Linked DNA regions of Macaca fascicularis. The protein of the gene in region 3 purifies or fractionates together with the protein of the main gene of each other region. This does not show direct contact. Links are inferred from orthologs where the notes say so. Each region holds a gene or a part of one and is shown on either strand. Other genes may lie near its edges.

The links.
Region 1: the proteins of DDX39B (region 3) and SF3A1 purify together in Homo sapiens (affinity purification with mass spectrometry; 3 studies listed by BioGRID and IntAct, with this or other methods). This does not show direct contact. The link is inferred for Macaca fascicularis from reciprocal best matches to the Homo sapiens genes DDX39B and SF3A1.
Region 2: the proteins of DDX39B (region 3) and HNRNPU purify together in Homo sapiens (affinity purification with mass spectrometry, with the first as the bait; 3 studies listed by BioGRID). This does not show direct contact. The link is inferred for Macaca fascicularis from reciprocal best matches to the Homo sapiens genes DDX39B and HNRNPU.
Region 4: the proteins of DDX39B (region 3) and MYO1C purify together in Homo sapiens (affinity purification with mass spectrometry; 5 studies listed by BioGRID and IntAct, with this or other methods). This does not show direct contact. The link is inferred for Macaca fascicularis from reciprocal best matches to the Homo sapiens genes DDX39B and MYO1C.
Region 5: the proteins of DDX39B (region 3) and CLTC purify together in Homo sapiens (affinity purification with mass spectrometry, with the first as the bait; 3 studies listed by BioGRID). This does not show direct contact. The link is inferred for Macaca fascicularis from reciprocal best matches to the Homo sapiens genes DDX39B and CLTC.
Region 6: the proteins of DDX39B (region 3) and LMNA purify together in Homo sapiens (affinity purification with mass spectrometry, with the first as the bait; 4 studies listed by BioGRID). This does not show direct contact. The link is inferred for Macaca fascicularis from reciprocal best matches to the Homo sapiens genes DDX39B and LMNA.
Region 7: the proteins of DDX39B (region 3) and LIMA1 purify together in Homo sapiens (affinity purification with mass spectrometry, with the first as the bait; 3 studies listed by BioGRID). This does not show direct contact. The link is inferred for Macaca fascicularis from reciprocal best matches to the Homo sapiens genes DDX39B and LIMA1.

Annotation. Positions count from the first base shown.
Region 1 is NC_088384.1:21,329,009-21,331,611, reverse strand, and holds part of SF3A1 (splicing factor 3A subunit 1), read right to left. Parts: coding exon 2,531-2,603; intron 1,637-2,530; coding exon 1,429-1,636; intron 920-1,428; coding exon 765-919; intron 1-764. UniProt on the Homo sapiens protein: Component of the 17S U2 SnRNP complex of the spliceosome, a large ribonucleoprotein complex that removes introns from transcribed pre-mRNAs.
Region 2 is NC_088375.1:4,313,654-4,317,897, reverse strand, and holds the start of HNRNPU (heterogeneous nuclear ribonucleoprotein U), read right to left. Parts: upstream 2,801-4,244; 5' UTR 2,563-2,800; coding exon 1,872-2,562; intron 982-1,871; coding exon 870-981; intron 783-869; coding exon 709-782; intron 1-708. UniProt on the Homo sapiens protein: DNA- and RNA-binding protein involved in several cellular processes such as nuclear chromatin organization, telomere-length regulation, transcription, mRNA alternative splicing and stability, Xist-mediated transcriptional silencing and mitotic cell progression.
Region 3 is NC_088378.1:140,188,762-140,193,014, reverse strand, and holds the start of DDX39B (spliceosome RNA helicase DDX39B), read right to left. Parts: upstream 2,801-4,253; 5' UTR 2,747-2,800; exon of another isoform or gene 2,198-2,746; intron 1,979-2,197; exon of another isoform or gene 1,901-1,978; intron 1,461-1,900; 5' UTR 1,329-1,460; coding exon 1,118-1,328; intron 93-1,117; coding exon 1-92. UniProt on the Homo sapiens protein: Involved in nuclear export of spliced and unspliced mRNA. Component of the TREX complex which is thought to couple mRNA transcription, processing and nuclear export, and specifically associates with spliced mRNA and not with unspliced pre-mRNA.
Region 4 is NC_088390.1:1,603,257-1,607,486, reverse strand, and holds the start of MYO1C (unconventional myosin-Ic), read left to right. Parts: upstream 1-1,430; 5' UTR 1,431-1,529; coding exon 1,530-1,604; intron 1,605-1,742; exon of another isoform or gene 1,743-1,915; coding exon of another isoform or gene 1,916-1,984; intron 1,985-2,320; exon of another isoform or gene 2,321-2,402; intron 2,403-2,748; exon of another isoform or gene 2,749-3,045; intron 3,046-4,230.
Region 5 is NC_088390.1:47,088,113-47,092,073, forward strand, and holds the start of CLTC (clathrin heavy chain 1), read right to left. Parts: upstream 2,801-3,961; 5' UTR 2,564-2,800; coding exon 2,522-2,563; intron 1-2,521. UniProt on the Homo sapiens protein: Clathrin is the major protein of the polyhedral coat of coated pits and vesicles. Two different adapter protein complexes link the clathrin lattice either to the plasma membrane or to the trans-Golgi network.
Region 6 is NC_088375.1:104,963,401-104,967,498, forward strand, and holds the start of LMNA (lamin), read right to left. Parts: upstream 2,801-4,098; 5' UTR 2,593-2,800; coding exon 2,237-2,592; intron 1-2,236.
Region 7 is NC_088385.1:57,007,861-57,010,649, reverse strand, and holds the end of LIMA1 (LIM domain and actin-binding protein 1), read left to right. Parts: coding exon 1-1,007; 3' UTR 1,008-2,289; downstream 2,290-2,789. UniProt on the Homo sapiens protein: Actin-binding protein involved in actin cytoskeleton regulation and dynamics. Increases the number and size of actin stress fibers and inhibits membrane ruffling. Inhibits actin filament depolymerization.

The DNA.
Region 1 (2,603 bases), on a different chromosome or scaffold from region 3:
GGGAGGCCAAGATGGCGGATCACTTATGGCCAGGTGACAAGCCTGGCCAACGTGGCAAAATCCCCTCTCTACTAAAATACTAAAAATACAAAAAGTAGCTGGGTGTGTGATGCACACCTGTAATCCCAGCTACTCAGGAGGCTGAGTTATAAGAATCACTTGAACCCGGGAGGCAGAGGTTGCGGGGGAAAAACAAACAAACAAACAATTTGGTCAAAGACATTGGGGGAGCAGAAGCTGGGGCTGTTTCTGTATCCTCACTGCAGCCTGACAGCTTCTCTAGGGACTGGCAGTGACAAGGTCCCCACCTCCCCTTATTGCAGGACCCCAACAGGATCCCACCCAACAGGCAGACCTCCTAAGGGCTAGAGCTGGGGAGGAAGGCCACAGTAAATTTTAAAACACCACACACAATTTCCTCCAGGGGTCTAGGGTCCCTCTCACACCTGAGTTGTGCTGTCCGTGCAGCTGGGTCTCCCTGTTGGCCTGTTAAGTCTACACCAGAGGGACCACCACAGTTACCACCTCTGCCACCACCACCATCACCACCACCACCATCACCATCACCACCAATGCTCTCTGCTCCTCTAATTTTTGACCCCACATTCACGGTGTGCTCAGAAGCCCTTAGATGCCTCCAGCGGCTGACCTACGCCCCAGAAGCCAAGACTGGGAGTAAAATAGGGTCAGTCTGGGAAGTGTACGACAGGGGCGAGGCTGAACCCTCCAGCTAGAAACTTGAGCAGCATTCTGGGATCACATACCTTGTTTCTGCGCAGGAACTCCTCCTCTGGCATGAGGCTGTCTTCTGTCTTCAGTTTTTTGGAGGTAGGCTCATCTTCCATGGGAGGTGGGGGATGAACAGGGGGCATTGGGGCTGGAGCTGGGACAGGTGCCACAGGTGGAGCAGGCACAAAGGCTGCAAAGATAAGAATAAGCAGCCCCATGAGAGGGCAGAATGGGCCCAGGACTCAGGGCTGATGAGAAGTTGAGAGAGGAGGTTGCAAAGGTTTCCTCTAGTCAGAGGTGTGAAGTGCTGTTCCCTGATGAGTCTGGCAGCCAGCAGGTTCCCCAGCAGGGGGACCTGGGAGGCTGCCCAGATTGGATAGCAGAGGACTGCAGGAGGGGCAGGACTGACGGATGGAGCTAGTGCCAGGCAACAAGCAACTCTCAGGCCTCTGAGCCTGTTAGGGACCTGATCCCTGAATGCAGACACCGGCTACATCATTTTAGCCTCCCATTTCTACCAGGAATGGTAGCTCCCAGCTCTAGGGTTGCGGATCTTTCACACAGGAAGCCAGGGCCTCTCCTCTGGGCTGGACACCCTGCTGGAACAGCTCGCACTAGCATCAGCCACAGCTCTGTTGACAGTACTTGGCCTGTGGTCCCTGACCTAATGGCCTGGAAAGTGATGCAAGAGATACTGACCTGTTGGCACAATCATAGGGGGTGGGCGGGGGGCCATGATAGGAGGGGCCGAGGGAGGCATGGGCACCACGTTGATTCTGGGCGCGTGGATGATGGGCGGCATGGGGGCGATCACTGAGCCTGGGGGCAGCCGAACCACAGATGCCATTGGGGGCCGGGGCATGACAGGTACTGCAGAGACAACTGTAGTACGAACTGGAGGTGGCATCTGTGCAGGAAAGAGACCCACAAGTTACAGGAAGCCAAAGTTGGACTCCAAGGGCACACACAGTTGGCAACTGGCCGCCTGCAGCTCTGAGGATGAAGGTTAGACAGCTCCGTCCTGGCCCCCTGGGACTGAGAAACTGTGGCCTCACACTGGGCGTCCAACAGGAACTGAGCTACTGAGAGCCTGAGAATGACATTCTCTCTGCTTGGGACTTGGCAGGTCAAATTCGACCAGCTACTTTGGCAATCACTGAAAGAGTCACTAAAGAGGCTGAGACCTTGGCTGGGCACAGTGGCTCATGCCTACAATCTCAGCAGTTTGGGAGGCTGAGGTGGGCGAATCACCGGAGGTCAGGAGTTCGAGACCAGTCTGATCAACATGGAGAAACCCTGTCTCTACTAAAAATACAAAATTAGCTGGGCGTGGTGACGCATGCCTGTAATCCCAGCTACTTGGGAGGCTGAGGCAGGAGAATCACTTGAACTCGGGAGACGGAGGTTGCGGTGAGCCGAGATCGTGCCACTGCACTCCAGCCTGGGCGACAAGAGCGAAGCTCTGTCTCAGAAAAAAAAAAAAAAAAAAAAAATAGGGAGAGGAGCTGAGACCTCGACTAAATCTCCTGGAGACAGGCCAGCAGTCCTCACAGACCCAATAAGCCCTGCAGCCCTTCTCTGACGCTAACTGGTTTCTCACATTTGCCTCTCACCTCCCTCCTTGTTCCAACCCTCCTCCACAAACAGATTAAGCTAGAGGTTCCCACTTGCATTTAAAGGGCTCTTTCTCTTTCAAACTGACCCACCCCACACTGTAAGGCAGTTGCCCGTCTCAGCCAACACTGTCCGACCTCAAGAACAAAGCTCTAAAAAGTCAGCTGCAGGGTAGATGCTGGCTTACTGTGGGTGGTCGGGGCACTGAAGTGATGGGTGGGGCCGAGCTGGGGATGTTGGTGGCTGAAGATGGTGGCGGT
Region 2 (4,244 bases), on a different chromosome or scaffold from region 3:
CTGACAGTCAAAGCCCACTTAGAGGTTTGCAATACTTTCTCATACTCAATTGCAACCCAACTGGGTGAAGTAGCAGTATTTACAGTGCTGCACTGCCATTGATACCATTCGCTGCTGAAGAAAGCTAGTGGCCCAGTGATAGCCCACTGCTGCTGCCTCAGGTCTTTGGAAGAAATCAACTTATGTTTAAAGCAGCAGCTACTGAACTGGAATTGAGAACAAAAGAGCAGTTATTGAAAAAATAATATTACAATCTTTTAGAATAGGGAATATACTTGTGTGCTAATGGGAGAAGTCATTAGTAAATATTTAACTAGCCCAAATAGCTCACTTAATATAATTCCACAAAAAAATGAATTACTTTATTGTAGAAGCCTGTAAGGCTAAATTATAGGTAGTGTTACAAGTTTCCGTTAGCTAGTCAGAAACTGGCATTAATTTTACATTTCCTAAGAACGAGAACTTTCAAGTCATAAAAATATGAAACTCCTAGAGCCTGTAAAATAATCCATTTGATACAACTGATGCCGTGCTAAATATTAAACTACTAGGTTCTGAATATAAACCATTATCTCTTCCTGCTTTTAAAAAAAACTAACCCAACTTTTGCTGCACTTAAGCATTAAGTTTTCTAACATTTTGGAAGCAAAAAAAAAAAATAAAAACCATCACCGCATTTCATAATTGGGGAGAAACAGCTTCACTTACAAGTATCAAGACAAACCACTGTGTCATCGAAGTGTTCATCTTCTTCTTCAACAGGTGGCTGAGGAGATTTGGCTCTGAAAGACAGAATTGTCTCCTGATACAGCTTTCCGATCAACGAACGAATAAGGGATGACAAGTAAAACTAGGTGAGCATCCTATACCTGCTATACTTGTTCTCTTCAATGTACTCAAAATATCCACGGCCATGATCTTCTCGTGGTCTTTTAACACCCCTCTTTTTATCTCCGCCTTTCTGTTCTGTTTTGCCGTCCCCTAAAACACACAAGACCCCCATAAGAGGCCAGGCCGCTAAACAACAACAAAAAAGCGCTTTTCCGTTCCGAGAAGCAAAGCAGCTCGACTTTATCCTGCTTTTTAACTGAGGTTTTAACCGAGGACTCAAATGTGAATTCGAAGAACAATCAGCTACGAATTGGATTAGCGCTAGTGACGCAGTCTAAAGACGTTACGAATTTTGCCAGTCTCCTCGATGATTCGAGAAACCCAAAGAAAAACTGCGCGGCCCAGGCCCGAAGCCCACGTGTATCGCGACCAGGGCGCAGGAGGGGGAGGGGCCGAGCCCGGCGCGGCGGCGCTCCCCTCCCCCGCGGGCCCGCGCTCCCCGCGGCCGCATTGTACTGATCTTCCGCCCCCCGCCCCGCCCCGCCCGGCTCCTCCCGCAGGAAGTGACGTCACGCCGAGCCCCTGCGCTCCTTGCACAATACAGCGGCGAGGAGCCGCCAAAGCGCGCCCGCCCCGGGACCTGGGGCCTCTCCCCTCCCCCCGAGACATGTGCCCGCACCGCGCGCACGCAGCGCGACGGCGCCACCGCGGGCCGACCGGGCTCCCTCCCGCCGCCCGCCCGCGGCTCCTCCCCCTCCAGCGGCAGCTGCAGCTCCCCCCGGCTCTCGAGCCACATAATGGAGGCGCTGCCACCGCCGTCACACACACACACACACACACGAACACACGCACACACGCCCCGAGCCCGAGGCCTCTCGGCTAATCTGGGATTCCCCGCGCCCCCTCCCCCACCCGCCACCCTCCCCGCGGCCCCCGCCCGCCCGGGGCTCCCTCCCCCTGCGGGGCTCCGGCAGGCCTGGGGCACGGTCCCCACCCCGCGCGGGCCTCCCGCCGCGCGCAACGTACAACGCAGCACTCACCCGCCGCCGGAGCCCCGGGGCGACCGCCGCCTCCGCCGCCTTCCGCCTTCTTCTTACCTCCCGCCTGCTGCTGGCCCTGCCTCGCCCCGGGCGGCGCCACCGTCACCGCGAACAGCGAGGTGGGGCCGCTGCTCTTCCCCGCGGCCTCCTTGGCGGCCCCGCGCTGCTGTTGGGTCTGTTGCTGCTGCGTCGCCGGCGGTTGAGGCTGCTGCTCCCCGTGCCCGTTCTCGTCGCCCGCGCCTTCCTCTTCGTCCCCGAGCTCATCTTCCCCTTCCTGGAAACCCTGATCGTCGCCGTTCTCGTCTTCCGAGGCGGCCTCCTCCTCCTCCATCGGGCCCGAGTCGGCCGCCCCCGCGGCCCCGTTCTCCTCTCCTAGCTCCATCTGGTCGCCGTCCAGGGCGGAGATTCCTTCCTCCTCCTCTTCCTCTTCCTCCTCCTCTTCATCGCCGCCGACCGCGGCCTCCTGCTCGAGGCCTGCTCCCGAGCGCCCGGCGGAATCCCCGCCCAGGTCTAGGCTGCCGTTCCCGGGCTCCATGGCGGGGCGGCCCCCGGCCTCCTCGTCGTCCAGCGCGGCCTGGAGTCGCTCCATGAGCTCGGCCTTGAGACCCTTGTCAGAAAGGCGTCGCTTCTTGAGCTCCTCTTTCAGCTCCGACACCTTCAGCTTTTTTACATTAACAGGCGAGGAACTCATGGTGAGGGCCCCGATTCACCGCTAGGCGCTGCCTCAAACTCGGCTCCGCTCACTCGGCCACTGGTGGCGGCTGCTGCGGCTGCTCCTCGGCCCGGGCGGCGGCTGCGGCTGCGGCTGGAGATGGGGTCGTGCTGCAGAGCGGATCCGCCTGGTGTCGAACGGCGCCAATTCCTTTCACCGAGTTCGCGAGGGAGACGCGGAGACTCGCCTGGCGCGAGCGAGCACGCAACGTCCTCTCGCAGGGGCGGCGCCGCGCACGTAATATAGGCGCCCCGCCCCCTGCGCTGACGGGAGCGCTGCGCAGGAGGAAAGCCGGAGCGCGCCCGCGCTCGGCCCCGCCCATTACCGTACTTACCTCCCCGCCCCCACGCCGAACCCGGGCGGAGAGCGCGGCGCAGGCCGCGCAGTGCGCTTCCAATTGGGACTGAGCAAATGGAGGAAAAGGAAACCGCCTTTCAGTTAAACCGACTCACTGCACAATCTATTGGCCTTTCTGGGTCTTTGGTGGCTATACTCGTTTGGCTTTTCGCCTTCCCAGCCTGGAGGCTGCTTTGTCCAAATGCTTTCTTCAGTCCTCAACTTGGCATTTCAACCCGAATACGCCTTTTCTTCCATCTTAGATCTGCCTTCTTGTATGTTTCTCCAGCTTTTCGTTTAAAACTCCTTCAAATCGTTTTGACTGGTATAACACACATTGGCAACTGTTACACGCAGGGGCTCTTTTCAGCATAATGCTGTATTTGATTTAATATGTGTAAGTCCTGCTTTGCGAATTGGATTTTAAGTTCGAGAAGGGCAAGGGCAGAGCCGTTCTTTTGTCTGTTCCACACCCCGGGTGCAGGGCCTGGGAAGTAGAGGCTTTGCTTACTACTCCATACTGCAAACCCTAGTTTACCAGCCTTTGCAGGGCTATTCTCATGCTCTTAATAACCCTAAATAAACCACAGAATTGCATTTCCAAGTTTTCTGTACCTACCACAAAGACGGACCTCCAGTAAGGCTTGTTCTGTCCACTTTAGGACCTGGTCATCGGCTATGAAGTCTCAGTAGTTAACCATGAGGGTGAGACCCAGCTAGGTCTTTGATTATAGGCCCACTTGATTCTCTTCCTATTCCTGTAGAAATACTCTTGACCAAATCATTCTGAAACTTAAAGTTCATGAAAAATCAAGGGCAGTGATTTTGTTAAAAAAAAAAAAAAAAAAAAAAGGACTATCGCTCTTGAAAAGAAATCCGTTATTTTGTATGTTAGAAGTTTACTTTTTCGCTTTAAATAAAAGATGTGATGTTCCCGAAGTTTTAGACAGGGAAGTCAGAATTTAGATTCGTGATAGAAGTTAACGTCTTAAACCCCAGATAATCTGCAGTGTCCAGCCAGTGTTCCATCTGACTAAGGAGATGGTTTATACCCACTGTTTGGTACTCTAGGTGGCACAATAATATTGCCCCATTATTAATTTGAAATTTGGAGGTATACATATTGAAATTTCTCCCATAGGCTAATGGGATTTAACTGATTGATGCATTTTACTTTTGAAGTTTATTTTCAATGGCTTTTATGAAGCATTCTGTCATACCTTGCAGCCATGTATACGTGAAATATTAACATTTGTGAAATGATTTGACTTGAAATTAATGGACTATGTACGGTACTACTGATAATCCCCAGTTCAAGTTAAGTG
Region 3 (4,253 bases):
CAACACAAACACTGCTGTCTTTCCCATGCCCGACTTGGCCTGGCACAGGACATCCATTCCCAGAATGGCCTGAGGGATGCACTCATGCTGGACTAAAAGTGGGGAGGAAAGATAAATTAGACTTCAGTCTCCAGATAACTCTACAACCTTTTTCATCATGCCAAGCCCATTTCTTACCACTCAATTCTCAAAATCTAGTATTTACCTGGTTCTTGCCAACTTCCAGACCCCTTTTACCTCTCTCTGCTCAATTATATTCACCTCAAAATCAGACTCTCCTAATTCATCCCAGCTTTGGCCTCCTCCAGATCTAGGCCTTCCCAGTCCTACTAACAGCCCCCTTGCATCTACCAACCGCTCACCTTCAATGCTCCTGGCTCTGTCCTTATTTTTCTTAATCTGTAACAATTCATGACATCTGAATACCTGCTAAAGACATTTCTCCTACTTAGGTTGCCATACTTCGGGTCACATAACAACAACCCGGGACAAAATGAAGGACTTGGTACCTGACCCAGAAGCCAGTCATCTCTAAACCAGTCATAGAGGTTTCCAGAGGCCACAGTTGGCCTGGCCCAACAGAGGGAGACTACAGGTCCAATCAGGACCTTTCTGGAAATTTAAAATTACAAGTCAAATGACAAAATTAAAAATAAGCAGACAAAAGAAGTCAGTCACAAGAATGAATGGCAGACCTAGAAGCTACTTTTGGATAATTAGCACTTTGGTGCTATCATGAAAGAAAGAACAAGTCTGTATAATCCTCCTCTATCCAAAATCGTTTTCGATACTTATCTCCTGATTTTTTTTTTCCTGTCTCCCCGGCTGGTGTACAGTAGTGCAATAACGGCTCACTGAAGCCTCAACCTTCACCTGCTTCGTTTAGTAGAGACAGGAGTCTCCCTATCTTGCCCAGGCTTCTCTTGCACTCGAGCTCAAGTGACCACCCCTCCTGCCTTGCCCTCCCAAAGCGCTGGGATTACAGGCGTGAGCCCCTGCACCTGACCCTGATCTAGCCTTAAGTATAAACTTTTACCACCTGAGCAACAACAAACACATCTTTTTATTGTACCCTTAAAGAGCCCAATGAGCACTACATGCCCAAGAGAAAATTTACCTTCTGACGGATGCTCAAAGCCACAGTCGACAATGGCCCGGAGCAACTCTGGCTTGAGCAGGAAGTCACGAAAGCCAGAGCTGTGGATGGAGACATAGGAGCCCTTGACATCCTTCTTGGCAGGGGCCTCAGCCCCATCTCCCCCAGCTGCTGTCTCCACCTCATCATCTTCATAGTCCAAGAGCTCATTGTCCACATCGTTCTCTGCCATAACTGGGCCGGCAGGGGAAGACGGGAAGGGGGATCTGGATGGGTTCTCGCAAAACAGGTGAAAACAAGGGGTGAAGAGTAGGGGATTGAGGAACAGCAAAGGAAAATAAAGATACTATTTCTAACAGAAGAGCTGGGGAAGGGGAAAAAAAAAAAAAGCAAGACTTAGTCACGAGCAGAGCCTTCACCACCTCTTTTCCATTCCCAGTTCCCACTTTCCCTAAACTAGGAAACTTTTACATGGAAAAAAAAACAGATACACAACATAAAAACGAAAAGCAAATACAAGAGAACAGAAAAAGCAGCACCAGCGAAAGTGGTTAGGACACAGGTTCCCAACAAGATTAGCAATCACAGTAGCGGAAACCAGAAAAGTTGGAAGGGGAAGACCAACTTATAAATTCTTAATCTGAAAATAACAGTGAGGAAATATAATAGATAATAAAAGATAAAATATGATTAATAACTTAGTAAAGTGGAAAATGGAGATGACAAGCAGAGTCCTGGAAAGTCCTCAAAGGAAGACTGTGCTTTCCCTATTATAATCCCACCGTTATGGATGCCTAACTCAGCAGCCATCAGTCAAGGGTGATAGATGAGGGTCATCACTGCGCAAAGCGCTCATCTTTCGAAAAGAAAACATCATATGGCCGCCGTCCACCTCCCATAGCTCTCAGCCTCCCACTTCTCAGTATCCTCTCTTCCGTTGTTTAAGAAAGCCTTGTGTAATTAGCATGGGGGGGAGGGGCGGTGCAAGACAAATGGCTCGGCCACCAAAAAAAAAAAAATCCATGTCTCCACCCTACAATAACAAAGTTAATAGTTGACAGAGAAAGGCAATCCCCGCCCAGGCTTTAACAGGATCTTTACCAAGTGGTCTGACATCACTGTTGCGCTACGAAGGTGAGACTCCTTTTGGAGAAACATACAATGACACCAGTAGTAAACACTTGTAAGGCACTCCAAATTAACTTGGGCGAGTCAAGGTGAGAAAAATCCAACTGGGCCCAAAAACCGGCTCCTCCTCCCAGTCCCACCGTGGGCCAAGAAAGGGCTCAAGAAAGGACAAGTAAGGTGATAAGAGCCCCGCCCTCCGCAAATACCAAGACCAAGGGACGCCTAGCGCCGCCTCTCATTGATGCTGAGGCCTCCAATATGAAAAGAACCTACTGGAAGAAGGGAGCAAAACGAACACAATGGCGCCGAGGACACCATCTTGGATTGGGCCCCCCCTTAGCTTCCCTTCCTTCCCCCAAGAGCTCTTTGCTCTCGAAAGGGATGCAAGCTACGGAAATGGGGAACCAACTAGGCCCCAGAGACCAGACGATCGCCTGTGAAAAGGGTATCAGGAACCCATGTGACGGGATGGGTGCGAAGAAGCGCAGATGGCAACGGATTGTAGTGAACGCCAAAGCTTACCTAAGCAGGCAGAGCGCGTATGGCGGCAGCAACAGCGACGAAGGAGGGAAATCTGCCTTCACTTCCGGTTGCAGGCTTCTCCCTACTCCAGCCTCCCGCCTTCTTGGCTGCAAGAGCGCAGGCGCAAGGGACCGGAAACGGGGCCTTCCGCGGTTGTACAGATCCGTGCGCTCCAGGCTTGCCTTTGGAAAATGCCTGTCTGAAATTTGTTTTAAAACCGTTTCTAACTTCCCTGCTACCGCCAGTAACAAAACGGATAAAGGAAACTAACGTCTCCTCCCACTGTTATCTTTCTTCTGTTGTCGTACTCCTCTCCATGCCTCTCATCTCTTCGTTTAGGTTTTTGCCATGCAGGTCTTCTCTCTAGGCACTCCATGGATGCGCGAGGAACCGGTGTGGCGAGGGCTGCGAGTTCCCACGGGGTCCTTGGCCCGGTAGTGAAGGTGACCTGAGGGCGGCTGGGCAAGCACTAGGAAACGGCAGGCCCTAGCTGAGGGGAGGGGCGTTGCCCGACTCTTTCCCAGTCGTGGGGCTAGTGGGCGGTATTTTCCCAAAAGGATGCTGTCCGAGGTAGCTGCGGCCCTAGGGCCAGGGAGTCAGGAAGGTGTTCTGAATCCGAGCGGGAAGACGGGGTCTGGATTCGGCCCCAAGTGTCAATAGTAGGGCTTGAGGGTTATACTACATTCCATTAATACTGTTTTTCTTTTTGTTTTGAGACAGAGTTTCGCTCTGTCGCCCAGGCTGGAGTGCAATGGCGTGGTCTCGGCTCACTGCAACCTCTGCTTCCTGGGTTCAAGCGATTCTCCTGCCTCAGCCTCCCAAGTAGCTAGGATTACAGGCGCCCGCTACCACGCCCAGCAAATTTTTGGTTTTTTAGTAGAGACGGGTTTTCACCCATGTATGACCTCAGGTGATCCACCTGCCTCGGCCTCCCAAAGTGCTGGGATTACAGGCGTGAGCCACCTCACCAGGCCCATTAATACTGTTAATTCGAGCAGAATGTTCTTGGCCCCACCCCAACAGCCCCATTGTTCAACCTGGATTTTTTTTCCTGAATGAAACATTTGCCATCCCTGTCTTTGAGATGGGGAGCTACAAAAGTAAGACCTGATGTCCTGCTGTGTAATAAAACAACAAACGTTTGACCCTCTCCCTGTTAGCACACTTAATCTTTTAATACTAAGGAGTAGGTACCGTTCTTGTCATCTTATTGACAGAAGCAAAGCAACATATCCCAAGCAGTACAGCTAGTGAGGTTACAGCCAGGATGCAAACATCTCTAATTCTCTATTGTATTCTGCCTCCCTGCTCAAAGAATCTGGTTAGTAAATACACTACGGGTTACCTTATTGGTTCAAATTCTTGGTGAAGCAAGCTTGTCTTCAGTGATAAAATGAAGTAACTAATTCAAGAATAGTGTCATAGAAGGTATTTTCCCACGTATCATTCAATTTATGCAAAAGTATCAACTGCCTCCCTTGTGCCACATGCTGTCCTAGGTTCTGGG
Region 4 (4,230 bases), on a different chromosome or scaffold from region 3:
TTCCAGGCACCTGTGGTTTCCTGCAGGACCAGGAACAGGAAAGGGATCTGAACCCACCCGCAGAGCGGTCTCAGTAGTCTGAAAATACAGATGATGTCCCTATTCTCAAGACTATTGTGGGAGAACCATTGCAAAAAGTATATCGCGCTAGACCTGCCTCCCCGTTCAGATTAATGCAGCCCTGGGGCTTGACCCAGGGGTCCCCCCACATGCTCACCTCCCCCGTGGTGAACTGAGGCCCCCACACACCCTGCCTCCTGTGAGGGAGGGGTGAGCCCAGCAGTGATTGAGAGGCGGAAAGGGGAAGCGGGGGTGCTCTCCGTCTTCTGGGCCCCAGTCAGGATATGGCCGCTCTGGGTCCACCCCGACCCACTGGGTGGAAACAGGAAATAAGTGAGACCTGGTGTGCACTGGGTCTACGCCTGGCTCCACGGCTGATAAGGGCCATTGTGTGGCCGCTGGGGATGAGCCTGCCCTGGATAGATGTGCTTCCTGGAGGAAGGAAGGAGGGCTTGCTAGCCTTTCTGGGGCGGGGGAAGCTGTGGGGAGACAGAAGGGTGCCGAGGGGAAGGCCCCTGCCTATGGGGCTGTCAGTGCCAGCACACGCCCACGGGACTCGGCCCTTCCTATGCCAGCCTCTCCCTCTGGAAAGGTCTGTTCCCCTATCCACTTCCCTGTTCTGACTTCCTCTAAGGAATGGCTGGAGACCGGAGGGCTCAGTCTCAGGCCAGGAAAGTGTCAGCTGTGATTTAGCAGCAGTAAAAATAGAAAAGCAGGAACGTCAGGGGTGGGGGGTCACCTGGGGGTACTGTCGAAATGCAAGGATGAACAGAGCTAGAGGTTGCCACACCCAGGGAACTCAGGAACTCACCTCACAAGCTCTGAGGCTCGGAGGAGGGTAAGACAAGAGTCTTCTCCCAGTGGGACAACGCCCTCTGCCCAGCACGACCAGCCCCCAGCAGCCCTGGCCACTCAAACTCATGGTGGGGGCTCACCTGCTGTGGGGGACGGCCGGTTGAGGGGATGTGCAGGAAAGGCAGTGTGCACTGAGGGGTCCTCTTGGCCTAGGGGAGGGCATGCCTTCTGGTTTGGGGAGTGGGCCCTGTGCTTTAGCTGGTACCAGACAGTGGCAGGAGGAGGGGCCCAGCCATAGAGCTGCTGGGGGGTGGCGGGGGAAGGGGAAAGGCGTCCTACCCTTTGACCTGGAGCCCAGGGTCCCCCGTGGGTGGCTGCATGGGCTCCTCTGGTTACCTGGGACAACAGGCATTTCCTCCATCACCAGCCCCTCCTCTTCCTGCTCCAACCATCCGGGCCAAGAGGCCTCCCAATCAGACCTGGACGGCTCCAGCTGTGTCCTGAGGCGCTGGACCAGCCACATCCCCTGGGGCTGGAGTTGAAGCAGAACCAAGTGGCCATCCCGGCGTTAGGCCATAGGTTCCTGGCTCCTGGAACGGTCAGAGCCAGCCAGTGGGCAGCAGCTTTTGCTCACAGGCCCCAGTGCCCAGGGCGCTGGCTCTCCGCAGGGCGGAATGGCGCTGCAAGTGGAGCTGGTACCCACCGGGGAGATCATCCGCGTGGTTCATCCCCACAGGCCCTGCAAGCTTGTAAGCTGGGATGCTCGGGGCTGGGAGGAGGGTGGAGTATCTCCCCAGGGCCGGGCAGCCCCTCTCAAGCAGAGCCCTAGGGCAAGAGGTGAGCAGAGGGGGAGGGGTTCCAATCCTTGGATGGGGCCAGCACAGACTGAACAAGACGGGGTGAGTGGAAGAGTAAGGATGTAAGCGCCACCAGCAGCAGGATTTTTGGAAGTGGAGGTCTGGGCTTGACTCCTCCAGCTTCCTGAACCTCAGTGGGCAGAACTGTGAATACTGGGCACAAAAGGCAAGTGCCGGCTGCTGTGAGGTCGAAGGATGAGGGCATGGAAGCTCCTCTCCAGTCCGCCGGGCTGGGACCTCCCAAGACTCAGAACAGGAGGACGGTGTGGGAGGTGGGTGAAGGGACATGGGTGGGTGGAAACCGGGGAGCGCGGCCCTGACCCGGTCCGCAGGGAAGGGGCTGGAGATGCAAAGGGCCCGGAGGAGGGATAAAGTCAGGCGCCCCCGCGCCCCCAGCACCGCGGCGGGGAGCCGGGTCTTCGGCCGGAGGGGCGCGCGCGTGTTCGCTGTGGCCGGACGCGGCTGCCCCGGGAACCGGCCGAGGCGGGGGCCGCCCGCATCCAGGCTTCGCGGACGCGGCCGGGCTGGGGTGGGGCGGGGCCGGAGGGTGCGCGCCCTGCCCGGGATGACGACAGGCTGCGGCCCGGCCCCCGGCGGGCCCTGGGCGGGGAGAGTGCGCCCGGGCCGCGGATCCTCGAGCCCGCCACGCCGCCCAGCCCGGCCCCCGCCCGCGCCGGAAGAGCCAAGCCGGTGGGTACTCGGGGCGCGGGGACGGCGGCCGCGGGGGGCGGGTGTGGGGAGCGGGCGGCCGGGCCGGGAGCCGCAGTGCGGGAAGCGGGGGTCACGGCCGGGGATCGCTGGGGCCGAAGAGCGGCCGGGGGGACCCGTGCGGGGGTCCCAGGACCCGGAGGCGCCGGCGCAGCCTGGTGGAGACTTAGATTTACCTGCGGGGAGCGGGAGGCGGGGAAGAGCGGCCTGGGCTGCAGGACCCAGGACCCCGCGCGCCCTTCGGGCCCCGCCCGCAGCCCTGCTCTGCCTCTGGGTTCCGGAGAAGCCGCCTGAACCCGCCCCTTCCCGTTCTCCGCCCCTGGGGCCCAGCGCGCCCCGAGTGTGGCCGGAGAATGAGGCTGGCCACGCGGCCCTCGGTCCTCACGCTCCGGCCTCCCGCGGACACTCCTGCCTCTGAGATTCATTCATTCTTCCAGGGGGCCGGGAAGGGGTGACTGAGCCCCACCGTGTGCCTCGCTGGGTGTAGGGAGTGGGAGCCGTCTCCTGGGAGGGACTGACAGGGAAACAGCTGACTCCTGCGGGGTGCGATAAGGAGACGCGGCGTGTTCGGGAGAATCAGGCAGGGGTTCTGGAGGAGGTGACACCTGAGCCTAGTCTCCGTGAGGTGGGCAAGGAGGGTGCCCCGGGCTGGGGAAGCCGCAGGTGCAAGCACTGAAGCTTGGACTGGCTGGCGACGGTGCGAAGACTCCTCCTGGCTGCGTGTTGTGGGTGGGAGGGGAGGGGTGGGGACAGAGGGGACTGGAGCGGGCCACCTGGCACACCGGAATGCAGGAGCAGTGGGGTAAACTGAGGACAGCAGGGGTGTCTCGGGAGTTCATAGGCAGGGTCCCGGTAAGCAGCAGTGAGTGTGAATCATGGGCCTGGCACATGGAGGGTGCCCTAAACCTTCACTCTGTGAACATGAGGTGTTGCTTTGATTTGTATTGCCCGAGGGGAAATGGATTGGTAGGAGGAAGGCAAGGCGTCCAGTTAGGAGGCTGCTGTCTTGGCCCAAGTAAGGAGCAGTGATGGAGGTGAAGTTTTTGTTTTATGTTTTTGTTGTTGGTGTGTTTTGTTTTAAGAAGGAGTCTCGCTGTCACCCAGGATGGAATGCAGTGGTGCGATCTCAGCTCACTGCAACCTCTGCCTCCTGGGTTCAAGCTATTCTCCTGCCTCTGCCTCCCGAGTAGCTGGGATTACAGGCGCGTGCCACGACGCCCAGCTAATTTTTTTTTATTTTTAGCAGAGAAGGGGTTTCAACGTGTTAACCAGAATGGTCTCAATCTCTTGACCTCGTGATCCGCTCACCTAGGCCTACCAAAGTGCTGGGATTACAGGCATGAGCCACCTCGCCCGGCCTGGAGGTGAGGTTTTAGCAGGTTGTGACTACTTAGTGTGAGGAGTGGAGGGAGGAGAGCAGGCCTATTAATGCCAGGCTGTGATGACCAGCTTAAAGTGCCACCCTTCTCTCTACAAAGACATTGAACAGGGAGTACAGGTTAGGGGTCAAAGGCCCTGTTTGTTTATTTATTTATGTATTTATTGAGACAGAGTCTTGCTCTGTCACTCAGTCTGGAGTGCAGTGGGGCGATCTCAGCTCACTGCACCCTCTGCCTCCTAGGTTCAAGCGATTCTCTCCTGTCTCAGTGTCCTAAGTAGCTGGGATTACAAGCGTGCGCCACCACACCCTGCTAATTTTTGTATTTTTAGTTGAGACAGGGTTTCACCATGTTGGCCAGGCTGGTCTGGAACTCCTGACCTCAAGTGATCTGCCTGCCTTGGCCTCCCAAAGTGTTGGGATTACAGGTGT
Region 5 (3,961 bases), on a different chromosome or scaffold from region 3:
TTATCCCAGCACTTTGGGAGGCCAAGGCAAAGGATTGCTTGAGCCCAGGAATTCGAGACTAGCCTGGGCAACATAGTGAAGCCCCATCTCTACAAAAAATACAAAAATTAGCCAGGTGTGGTGGCTCATGGCCGTAGTCCCAACTACTCAGGATGCTGAGGTGGGAGGATGGCTTGAGCCCAGTAGGTCAAGGCTGCAGTGACCTGTGACAGTGCCACTGACCTCCAGCAAAAACCCTGTCTCTTCAAAAAACAAAAACCTTATTAATTTTTCAAAAGGTAGGAGATAATGAAGTCAGGAGATATATTATCATGGAAGAGGCTGTAGTTATTTGCGCTCTGCAATTAATCAGCTGGAGCACACAGTCATATTAGCTAAGCAAGCTTAACTTTAGGCATGACATAGCAATCCAAAACACAGAGGGCTGAATTTTCAATTTGCAAATCTGCTTTATATTCAAAATCTTCAAATTATTTGAGAAGAAAATGGCTTCATTCAAGTATCTGCTGAAACTGAGCCAGTTACAAAACAGACATGTATTAAATTTGTCTTCAATAAGTGACAAGGTTGGGTTCCAATCTCTGGCATCATTTAACAATTCTTGTCTCCTCTTTAAAAGAAATGAAAAGCTATTACTCGAACCACCACAAGATTTAGTAGTGAGCTATACATCTGCCATGGAAAATAAACAGCAGCTGTACTTGATTCTTTGTGTGGTTTATAAACATTTGTCTGCAGAAAGATATTTCAGATGCAGCTTAGTATGAAAACAAGCCCGCGTTTTCCCCTCACACTTAAGAACAGCACTTTCTCAACTCTCCACATTCATTTGCCACCCCACTTTAACAAAAATAACTAAAGCAATTAAACTTGGATTGATTAAAAAAAAATCCACTTTGTTATTTAACGTTTTTAACCTTCTGTAAAAGTGTTTTTATTATTGGCATAAATATATTTATATATATATGCCAAGATATGCCAAGGTATATTCCATTACTTCAGATGAGTTATTTGAAAATTATAGATGACTGAAGAAAGTGCATTATTTGACTCATTTTATGGGTAAAGATTTATTATTCTTTACATTTCAAGCCTTAAAGGAAAATAAGTCCTTGCTAGTGCAAACATGGTAATACCTGCAAAGAAATATGAAATTATGTTACTTATAGCCTGAATATTAAAACCTTTTATTAACAAAACTCTTTTATGTATGTTATACCAATGGGGGAATGTAAATAAAAATGGTCTTCAATGGTAAAGTGTCTAATAAGTCACTGATATTAGTGTCATGTCAAACCACTGCATTCTCTGTCATTATGGAATTAGCCCTTCAGACGATAGAGCTGAGGCAGGTTTCTTTAAGGGGATATTTGGGAAGAAAGCAAATTAATAGGAATAAATTGTTTCAGCTACAGTAAAAATCAGGATTGGTGACACAGGAAAATCAAAAGCTCTGAAGAGGTTTAATTCAGTGAAGCCTTCCAATGGTCACCTGCCTAGGCCAGCGATTGGCATGCTGCCAGATGAGACAACAATATGTTGCCTCCAGGATAAGGAACCATGGGAAAGAACTCTAGAACTTACTAAAGGGAAGCCAGTTACAGACCAAATAGCCCCGCAGGTCTCAGAGCAGCTGTGCTCTGTCCCCAGGGCTCTGTTCAATTCCATGCGATCCTGAGGAAGATATTCAAAACTACCTGCTACTACTCGAGAAGACTAGAAGATAACCTCTGTATCACTCTTTCCTACCTTCTAGAACCAAAGAGGGGTTAAGAGCCACAACATCCCCAAAGAAATAAAAAAAGTGGGAAGGGGAGGCGAGTTTCCTTAGGGAGCTCGACCCCACACACTCTGAGATTGACATCGTTCTGAGAAATGCGTTCTCCCATTCTACCCTCGTTTCGTTCTTTCAGTGACCTTCTGTCCCTACTGCCTCAAGGAAGGCAAGAGACAAGCCACCGCCTCACCACCACCCCCAACCCCCACCACCGGAGAAGGTGCCTTTCTCAGTTGAGAGCCGCAGAGGGAGGAAAAAAAAAAGGTTGCTCCTCCCCAACCCACCCGCCCCACAACTCCTGGGTGCAGACACGAAGAGGGAAAGAGGAGAGCAATGGAAGGTGACAGCCCCGCACTGGCCCAGGGGATAAGAATCCTTGCTCTGGTAGAAACAAGAGAGAATCCCCCCTCCCACTCCCCTACCCAAATGAATGAACTGAACAAAATGGGGAGGAGAGAGTTTGTACGCGCAGTTCTGGCCATCCAGGAAGCAAGATCGAGAGGCCTTTGGATCCAGGCCTGGTCTTTGCAGCCCTTTGCACCCCAACTCCTGTCCTTTCATCCAAGCCCCACATCATTTAACAGTTTAAGCTTTCTAAGATAGTGCCCCCTCCTCCACCTACCCCAAAGACCGACAACCCCCCCACCCCTCCAGCTCCGATCCTGCTCGGGGCCCAGACTCCAGCTTCTTCCACTATTCCTACCACCTTCTCCACAGCCCTCACCAGCCCGGGCCCGGCCGCACCTGGAGATGCTCCTGAAAACGAATTGGCAGAATCTGGGCCATGGCGCTGTCGGGGGGAATGGTCTCCTCCTGTCACTGGGGCTGCGGGGCAGTGGCTGCCCGGGCTCTCCGAGGGAGAGGAGGAGAAGGGGAGGGGGGAGGCTGGGCTCAGCAGGATCCTCTCCGGGGACGCAGGAAACTGGCACGCAGACGAAAGAGCTCGGGTCGGGGGCGGAGGCTCCACGGGCCAGGAGAGCCGCAATGGCGGAACCGGGCGCAGCGCAGACTCCGGAAACGGCTGAGCCCAGCGGAAGGATCCCGGCGACAGAACTCCGCCCAGTCGCCTCACCCCCTCCGCCTTATGTACCCCTCCACGGAGCGGTGCGTGCGGCGGGTGCAGGAATTCCGGGCGCTGTGCGCCCGGAGCCTCTCTTCTGACGCCACACGGGGGGCAACAGAGGAACCGGAGGGACTACTTTTTTAGACTCATCACTTTCGCCAATCTTCTTTTTCTACCCCCACTTTTTTTTTTTTTTTTTTTTGCATTTTGCCACATCATGCGACTCGGAGCGACCGACGTCACTTCCGTGGGTGCTTTAGGTCCCACCCACGTACTTCCAGGTGCACGTGATACTGATGGGGAAGGGTCGGCTGATTGCTGCCAGAATGGAGAGCGCGTTTTAAGGAAATGCGGCGTCTCCTGGGAGTGAAGTGGCTGTTGGGCCACCTTGAGGCATGACGGGTGCCGCTTCCTTCCCCTGCGACCCCTGCCTGTTTGGACTGAGCCCCTTACAGGAGGACGTGGCGGGGGCAGACGGGGGCAGCCTCCCGCCCTCTCCGTGACTCAGGGAAACGGCCTCGCCGCAGAGCGCTCCCTCGGCAGCTGGCTGCAGCACTCCTCCCCCGCCGGGCTTCAGAGTGGGTGGTTTCCTACAGCCTAGGGAGGGGGCCTGAAACGGGGTTTAAAATCCTCCCTGCCCTCACACACGCCCTTCTGACGGTTGGAGAACCTGACGCGCGGATTCTAACTAGAACCGGCACTCTCTTCGGGTGTTAGATAATTAGCTCAAAGGACAGCGAAGGCCATTTATGATGTGTCTCAAGCTGGCCTTATGACAGCTTCTCTTAACGTTTCTGCGGACATTTTGGCGGGCGGACATGTGTCAGCCTAGCTCAGTAATCAGTTTCGTTAAAGAATTCGAGTATCAGAACGTACAAGGATTGGACTCAAATTCTAGCAGGAGGATTTTTAGCCACATCAAATAATTTATGTCTCAGAGATTTAGATAATTAGGGTAAGGATGCTTGGTAAAACCTGAAGGTTCCTGGAGGAAAGAGATGAACTGTTAGTCGTGCATTTCCGTGGGACCACCTCAACATAGGTTCCTGTAGGTTAGCAGTGTAGAAATGCAGCGCTTCAAAGCCGGAGCATCATGTCTTCAAAGAGCATGGAGGTATCAA
Region 6 (4,098 bases), on a different chromosome or scaffold from region 3:
AAACACCGTCTCTACTAAAAATACAAAATTTAGCTGGGTGTGGTGGCCGGCACCTGTTGTCCCAGCTACTTGGGAGGCTGAGGCAGAAGCATGGCTTGAACCCAGGAGGCAGAGGTTGCAGTGAGCCGAGATCACACTACTGTACTCCAGCCTGGACAACAAAGCGAGACTCCGTCTCAAAAAAACAAAATAAAGGTTGATGGCCGGGCATGGTGGCTCATGCCTGTAATCCCAGCACTCTGGGAGGCTGAGGTGGGTGGATCATTTGAAGGCAGGAGTTTGAGACCAGTCTAGTCAACATGGTGAAACCCTGTCTCTACTAAAAATACAAAAAAAAAAAAAAAAAAAAAATTAGCTGGGTGTGGTGGCTCACGCCTGTAATCCCAGCTACTCGGGAGGCTGAGGCAGGAGAATCTCTTGAGCCTGGGAGGTGGTGGTTGCGGTGAGCCAAGATCGCACCACTTCATTCCAGTCTGGGTAACAGAGTGAGACCCTGTCTCAAAAAAAAAAAAAAAAGAAAGAAAGAAAAAAAGGTTGAGCCTGTTTTCCTACACACAACTTCTACTGACTCTTCAGAAAGAAGGGCTATGGGCCCGGCGTGGTGGCTCGCGCCTGTAATCCTAGGACTTTGGGAGGCCAAGGTAGGTGGATCACCTGAGGTTGGGAGTTCAAGACTAGCATGACCAACATGAAGAAACCCCTTCTCTACTAAAAATACAAAATTAGCCCGGCATGGTGGCACATGCCTGTAATCTCAGCTACTTGGGAGGCTGAGGCAGGAGAATCGCTTAAACCTGGGAGGCAGAGGTTGCGGTGAGCCGAGATTGTGCCATTGCACTCTAGCCTGGGCAACAAAAGCGAAACTCCATTTTCAAAAAAAAAAAAGGGCGATGGATCTGCCACACCCACCACACCTAGCAAAGGGTTTTGGGAAGAGCAGAAGTTTGGAGTAGTTGATAAAAGGGAGAGAAGAACTCAAAGCCAACAGCCCTTTATGGCTCTCCAAGCCCTGTTAGTGCTCTTAGCCTGGGTCTGCATAGAGAAAGGGAAGGCAGGAAGAAGGGAACCAAATTTTGGGGGGACTGGAAGAGGAAGGCCTATACTTCCAAGCTCCCAAGGCTTTTTTAGGAAAGAAGAAGGTGGAGTTGAGCAGGGTGGGGTAGGGTGGGGCAGGGGTGGGTAAAGTAGGAGTGGCCTGAAGCTTCCAACGGCTGGATTTCAAAAATGTCACTGTATTCCAGCACTTTAATAAGACAAAGATCAAAACGTCAGCAGCTAAGAGGATGGGCCTGAGCAAAGACTGCCTGGCCTGGCTGGGAAAATGAAAGTGGCTCACTCCAAGGAGGGAAGGACAGTGCCCCCAACCCTCGAAGACACGAGGCAGTGGGCCAAGGGAGGAGTGCGGCCAGACCTGGGCATAACACAACTTCCTGAGCTGGGAGCCTCTGCCCTCTGCCTCCCTCCCTCCCTTGCATTCCTGGGCCAAGCAGGCCAAGGGCTGTGGGAGCTGCGGGGGAGCCAATCTCCCGATCTCCCATCTCCCGGAGCTCTTTTGGTGGGCCTGTCAGAGCCCAAGGAAGGTCCCAGACACGCAGAGTGGCAGAGTGAGGGACAGCTTCCCAACCCTTAGAACCCCGGAAAAGGTCATGCCGAGGGGGCCACCGCCAAGCCCTCGGGAGGGAAAAGGGGGATTGCCCTGCCTTTCTCACCTCTCTCCAACACGCTGGACAGATGCCAGCTTGGGAGTCATGTCTTAGTGGGCATCATGTGTTCAGAGCCAGCTTGGGCAAAGCTGGCACCAGTGCCAAGCCCGCCAACAAAGTTCTAACAGGACCCTTTCTGCTACTCATATGTGTCCTGGGTGCCCAGAGTTCTTCGAGCTGGCAGGGCTAGTTCTGTTTTGCTTAAGCCCCTCCCGCAGGCTCCAAATAGCTGGCAAATCCCAATCTGACCGAATTCGGGCAGGCCCCAGCCCTAACTTGTCCCTGATACCCCCACCATTCCTTATATCCCCCCCGCCCTCTCCCAGAGACCACCTCTTCCCTCTCTGTCCTGTCTTGACAATTCCCCTTGACACTGCCAGTCACTCGCTGGGGGCAGTTCCGGGAAGGGAGGAGACTATGGCAAAGTTATCGGCCTCCAGGCCCTCTCACTCCCTTCCTGCAGTCGGCCAGGGGCGCCGGCCAGCCGCCCTCTCCACTCCCCGCCAGGCACGCAGCCACCTGGGCGAACTCACCGCGCTTTCAGCTCCTTAAACTCCTCACGCACTTTGCTCAGCTCCAGCTGCAGGCGGGCACGCTCCTTGGCCACTGAGTCGAGGGTCTTGCGGGCATCCCCGAGCTCGGCCTCGTAGGCGGCCTTGATGCCGGACACCTCGCGGCTGACCACCTCTTCAGACTCGGTGATGCGAAGGCGCAGCCCTGCGTTCTCCGTTTCCAGCGAGCGAACACGGTCGATGTAGACCGCCAAGCGATCATTGAGCTCCTGCAGGTCCTCCTTCTCCTGCAGCCGGGTGATGCGGGTGGGCGACAGCGGAGTGGAACTGGCCTGCGCCCCGCTGCGGGTGGCGCGCCGCTGGGACGGGGTCTCCATGGCCGGCAGGTTGGCAGCGCTGCCCGCGGGGCAGGGGTCCCGGAAAGGGCTCGGGGCTCGGGCAGAAGGACGGAGACTGCTCGGAGTCGGAGTGCGCCGGCCGGCTGGCTCTCGGCTTGCTACTGGCAGGCGTGGGGATCTGGGCCGAGCGCTGTTGGACCTCGGGATCTGGGTTGGCTGGTGTAGGTGCTGCGCTCCCGCGAACACTGAGTCACCGACGCCGGGGCAAAGGCTCTAATAGGTCCTCGTCTGAAGGGAGGAGTGGCCACTGCTCTTAAAGGGGCAGTCCCAGATCCATGGGGGTGGGGGCAGGAGTGGTGAGGAGGGGGAAAGACCGTTGGGGTGTGGCGGAGTCGAGCCCCACCCTCTCCAGCGCACCCCTAACTGCGTGAGGCTTAAGCTTCCCCTCTCTTGGCTGCTCAGTACTGCCGGCTCCAAGCTTGCCCCCATTGCCTCAGACCTTCTGGGCTAGAGGGCAGAGCCAAGGAGGGAGAGTGGGTGGGCAAAAGGGTGGGGGAGAAAGAGAGGGAAGTGGGTGCAAAGCAAGGGAGAGGGTCAGGCAGGCAGGGCTGGGAGCCAGGAAAGTGGGGGGAGGGCTGAGGCTGGTGCCCATCAGTGTGACTCACCCTTCTTCCACCACTGGCTCCCCCTGTCCTCCCAGTAGTAATAGTGAGTCACCCCAACCCCCCCTCCACACGTGGGCAGCCCATTCAGAGCTGCATCTCAGTGTGCCAGGAGTGGGGTGGAGAAGGAATGCCTGGGTTCCCTGGGGGGAACAAAGTTCTGGAACCTGAGTTCCTTTATGCCCCCAATTTGGGGCCAGGGATCAAGGAGTTTGGGGGTCCCTTTTTTGCTTTCTTTTGCCCCAATATATCTCCCTTCAAAACCAAGCATTCGTTTTTAGACCCAAGCAACAAGCCACAGTCCCCTAAAGAAGGCCAAGAATAGGAGCCAGGCACTTCCCCCTTCCATCTCCTGTCCCCTTCCTTTGGACCCAAGCACTGCTTGGGTTCCTTCCCCCTTCAGTCCCTTTCTACTGCTTACCCCACCCAGTCAACTTAATTTTTTTTCCCCAGAACTGTACTTATTTTAATGGATAATTTAAAACAGATACCAGAGCTGTGTGTGCATTCATTACGTTGCCAGGACACTAGGTCCCAGATTTCTGTGGTTCCCAGAGGGGCCTGAAAGGGGGAGCAGGGCTGGGGGCTGGACAGCCAATGTTGGGTCTCTATCCTGGTTTCAGCCAGAAAGAAGGTAGTAGGGGGTAAGAAGGTAGTGGGGGGCAGGAACAGCAAAGACCCCACAGCCTTGCTGGCTGCAAAGGCCAGCACCACATTCATCTCTACTTTCCTCTCTGGCCAGGTCCATTTTGCAGCTGGCTCTGGGGAGGGGCCAGGCTGTCTCACAAAACGAGATCACCCAGGTCCCCAGGGTTCGCTAGCTCAGGCTCTGGAGCCTCCATCCTCAGGCCTCACCAAGGACCCTTTTGATAAGCCTTCCACT
Region 7 (2,789 bases), on a different chromosome or scaffold from region 3:
TAGGAACATATGCATCTTTACACGGAAGAATCTATTGTAAGCCTCACTTCAATCAACTCTTTAAATCTAAGGGCAACTATGATGAAGGCTTTGGGCACAGACCACACAAGGATCTATGGGCAAGCAAAAATGAAAGCGAAGAGATTTTGGAGAGACCAGCCCAGCTTGCAAATGCAAGGGAGACCTCTCACAGCCCAGGGGTGGAAGATGCTCCTATTGCTAAGGTGGGTGTCCTCGCTGCAAGTATGGAAGCCAAGGCGGCCTCTCAGCAGGAGAAGGAAGACAAGCCAGCTGAAACCAAGAAGCTGAGGATCGCCTGGCCACCCCCCACTGAACTTGGAAGTTCAGGAAGTGCCTTGGAGGAAGGGATCAAAGTGTCAAAGCCCAAATGGCCTCCTGAAGATGAAATCAGCAAGCCCGAAGTTCCTGAGGATGTCGATCTGGATCTGAAGAAGCTAAGACGATCTTCTTCACTGAAGGAAAGAAGCCGCCCATTCACTGTAGCAGCTTCATTTCAAAGCACCTCTGTCAAGAGCCCAAAAACTTTGTCCCCACCTATCAGGAAAGGCTGGAGCATGTCAGAGCAGAGTGAAGAGTTTGTGGGCGGAATAGTTGCAGAAAGGAAACAAGTGGAAAATGCCAAGGCTTCTAAGAAGAATGGGAGTGTGGGAAAAACAACCTGGCAAAACAAGGAATCTAAAGGAGGAGAGACAGGGAAGAGAAGTAAGGAAGGTCATAGTCTGGAGTTGGAGAATGAGAATCTTGTAGAAAATGGTGCAAACTTTGATGAAGATGATAACAGCTTCCTCAAACAACAGTCTCCACAAGAACCCAAGTCTCCAAATTGGTCCAGTTTTGTAGACGACACCTTCGCTGAAGAATTCACTACTGAGAATCAGAAATCCCAGGATGTGGAACTCTGGGAGGGAGAAGTGGTCAAAGAGCTCTCTGTGGAGGAACAGATAAAGAGAAATCGGTATTATGATGAGGATGAGGATGAAGAGTGACAAATTGCAATGATGCTGGGCCTTAAATTCATGTTAGTGTTAGCGAGCCACTGCCCTTTGTCAAAGTGTGATGCACATAAGCAGGTATCCCAGCGTGAAATGTAATTTACTTGGAAGTAACTTTGGAAAAGAATTCCTTCTTAAAACCAAAAAACAAAACAAAACAAAACAAAAAAACATATTCTAAATGCTAGAGATAACTTTACTTAAATTCTTCATTTTAGCAGTGATGATATGCATAAGTGCTGTAAGGCTTAGAACTGGGGAAATATTCCACCTTATAATAGCCCAGATTCTACTATATTCCCAAAAGGCAATATTAAAGTAGATAGATGATCAGTAGTATATTGTTACACACTATTTTGGAATTAGAGAACATACAGAAGGAATTTAGGGGCCTAAACATTACGACTGAATGCACTTTAGTATAAAGGGCACAGTTTGTATATTTTTAAATGAATACCAATTTAATTTTTTTAGGATTTACCTGTTAAGAGTTTATTTAGTCTTTAAATTTTTTTAGATTAATTTTCTGGCTGTGATATATATAAGGAATTTACTACTTTATGTCCTACTCTCTAAACTATATCCTGAACTCGACGTCCTGAGGTATAACACAACGGAGCACTTTTTGAGGCAATTGAAAAACCAACCTACATTCTTCGGTGCTTGGAGAGATCTATCTCCCAAATAAGCTTTTGTATCTGCCAATGAATTTACTGTACTCCAAATGATTGCTTTCTTTTCTGATTATATCTGTGCTTCTCATAATTTACTGAAAGCTGCAATATTTTAGTAATACCTTTGGGATCACTGTCCCCCATGTTCCATGTTAGAGCAAAGTGAAGAGTTTAAAGGAGGAATAAGAAAGAACTGCTTTACACCATTTGAGCTCAGACCTCTAAGCCCTGTATTTCCCTTATGATGTCCTCTTTTTGAGATACTAATTTTTAAATACTTATTAGCTCTGAAATATATTGATTTTTATCACAGACAGTATTCCCAGGGTGAAATTAAACCAACTATAGGCCTTTTTCTTGGGATGATTTTCTAGTCTTAAGGTTTGAGGACATTATAAACTTGAGTACATTTGTTGTACACAATTGATATTCCAAATGTATGGATGGGAGGGAGAGGTGTTTTAAGCTGTAGGCTTTTCTTTGTACTGCATTTATTAGAGATTTAGCTTTAATATTTTTTAGAGATGTAAAACATTGTGCTTTCTTAGTCATGCTTAGTCTGAAACATTTTTATTCAATAAAGATTTTAATGAAAATTTGAACTTTTCAATGTTTCTCTTCCATTTTTTTTTTACATTATTACTGTCTCTCAGGATCTCAGTTTGGGAAGAAAAACATGGTACTACTTTTTTTAGTTGAAGAGACACGTCATCAATACATCTCACCACTAGATGGTAGTGTTGGGCTGATTTTGGATTTCAGTCCTCCCTAAAGGAAGACAAATTTTTCTGGAAAATTGCAGGCAACTTGGCAAGAGAATTAATGTGTGCACTCAAAATGAGCTATTTTACCAATTTGAAATCCAGTGGTGGTTTTTATTGTTTATAGCATTCAACATTGAATAATTCACCTTACAATTATGCCTAGCATGCTGAATGGATTTCCAAATGTCTCTGCTGAAAATGGACTTGTTTTTTACTTTAGGCAGATGCTTTTTTTTTTTTTGAGACACAGTCTTGCTCCGTCGCCCAGGCTGGAGTACAGTGGCATGATCTTGGCTCACTGCAACCTCCACCTCCCCAGTTCAAGTGATTCTCCTGCC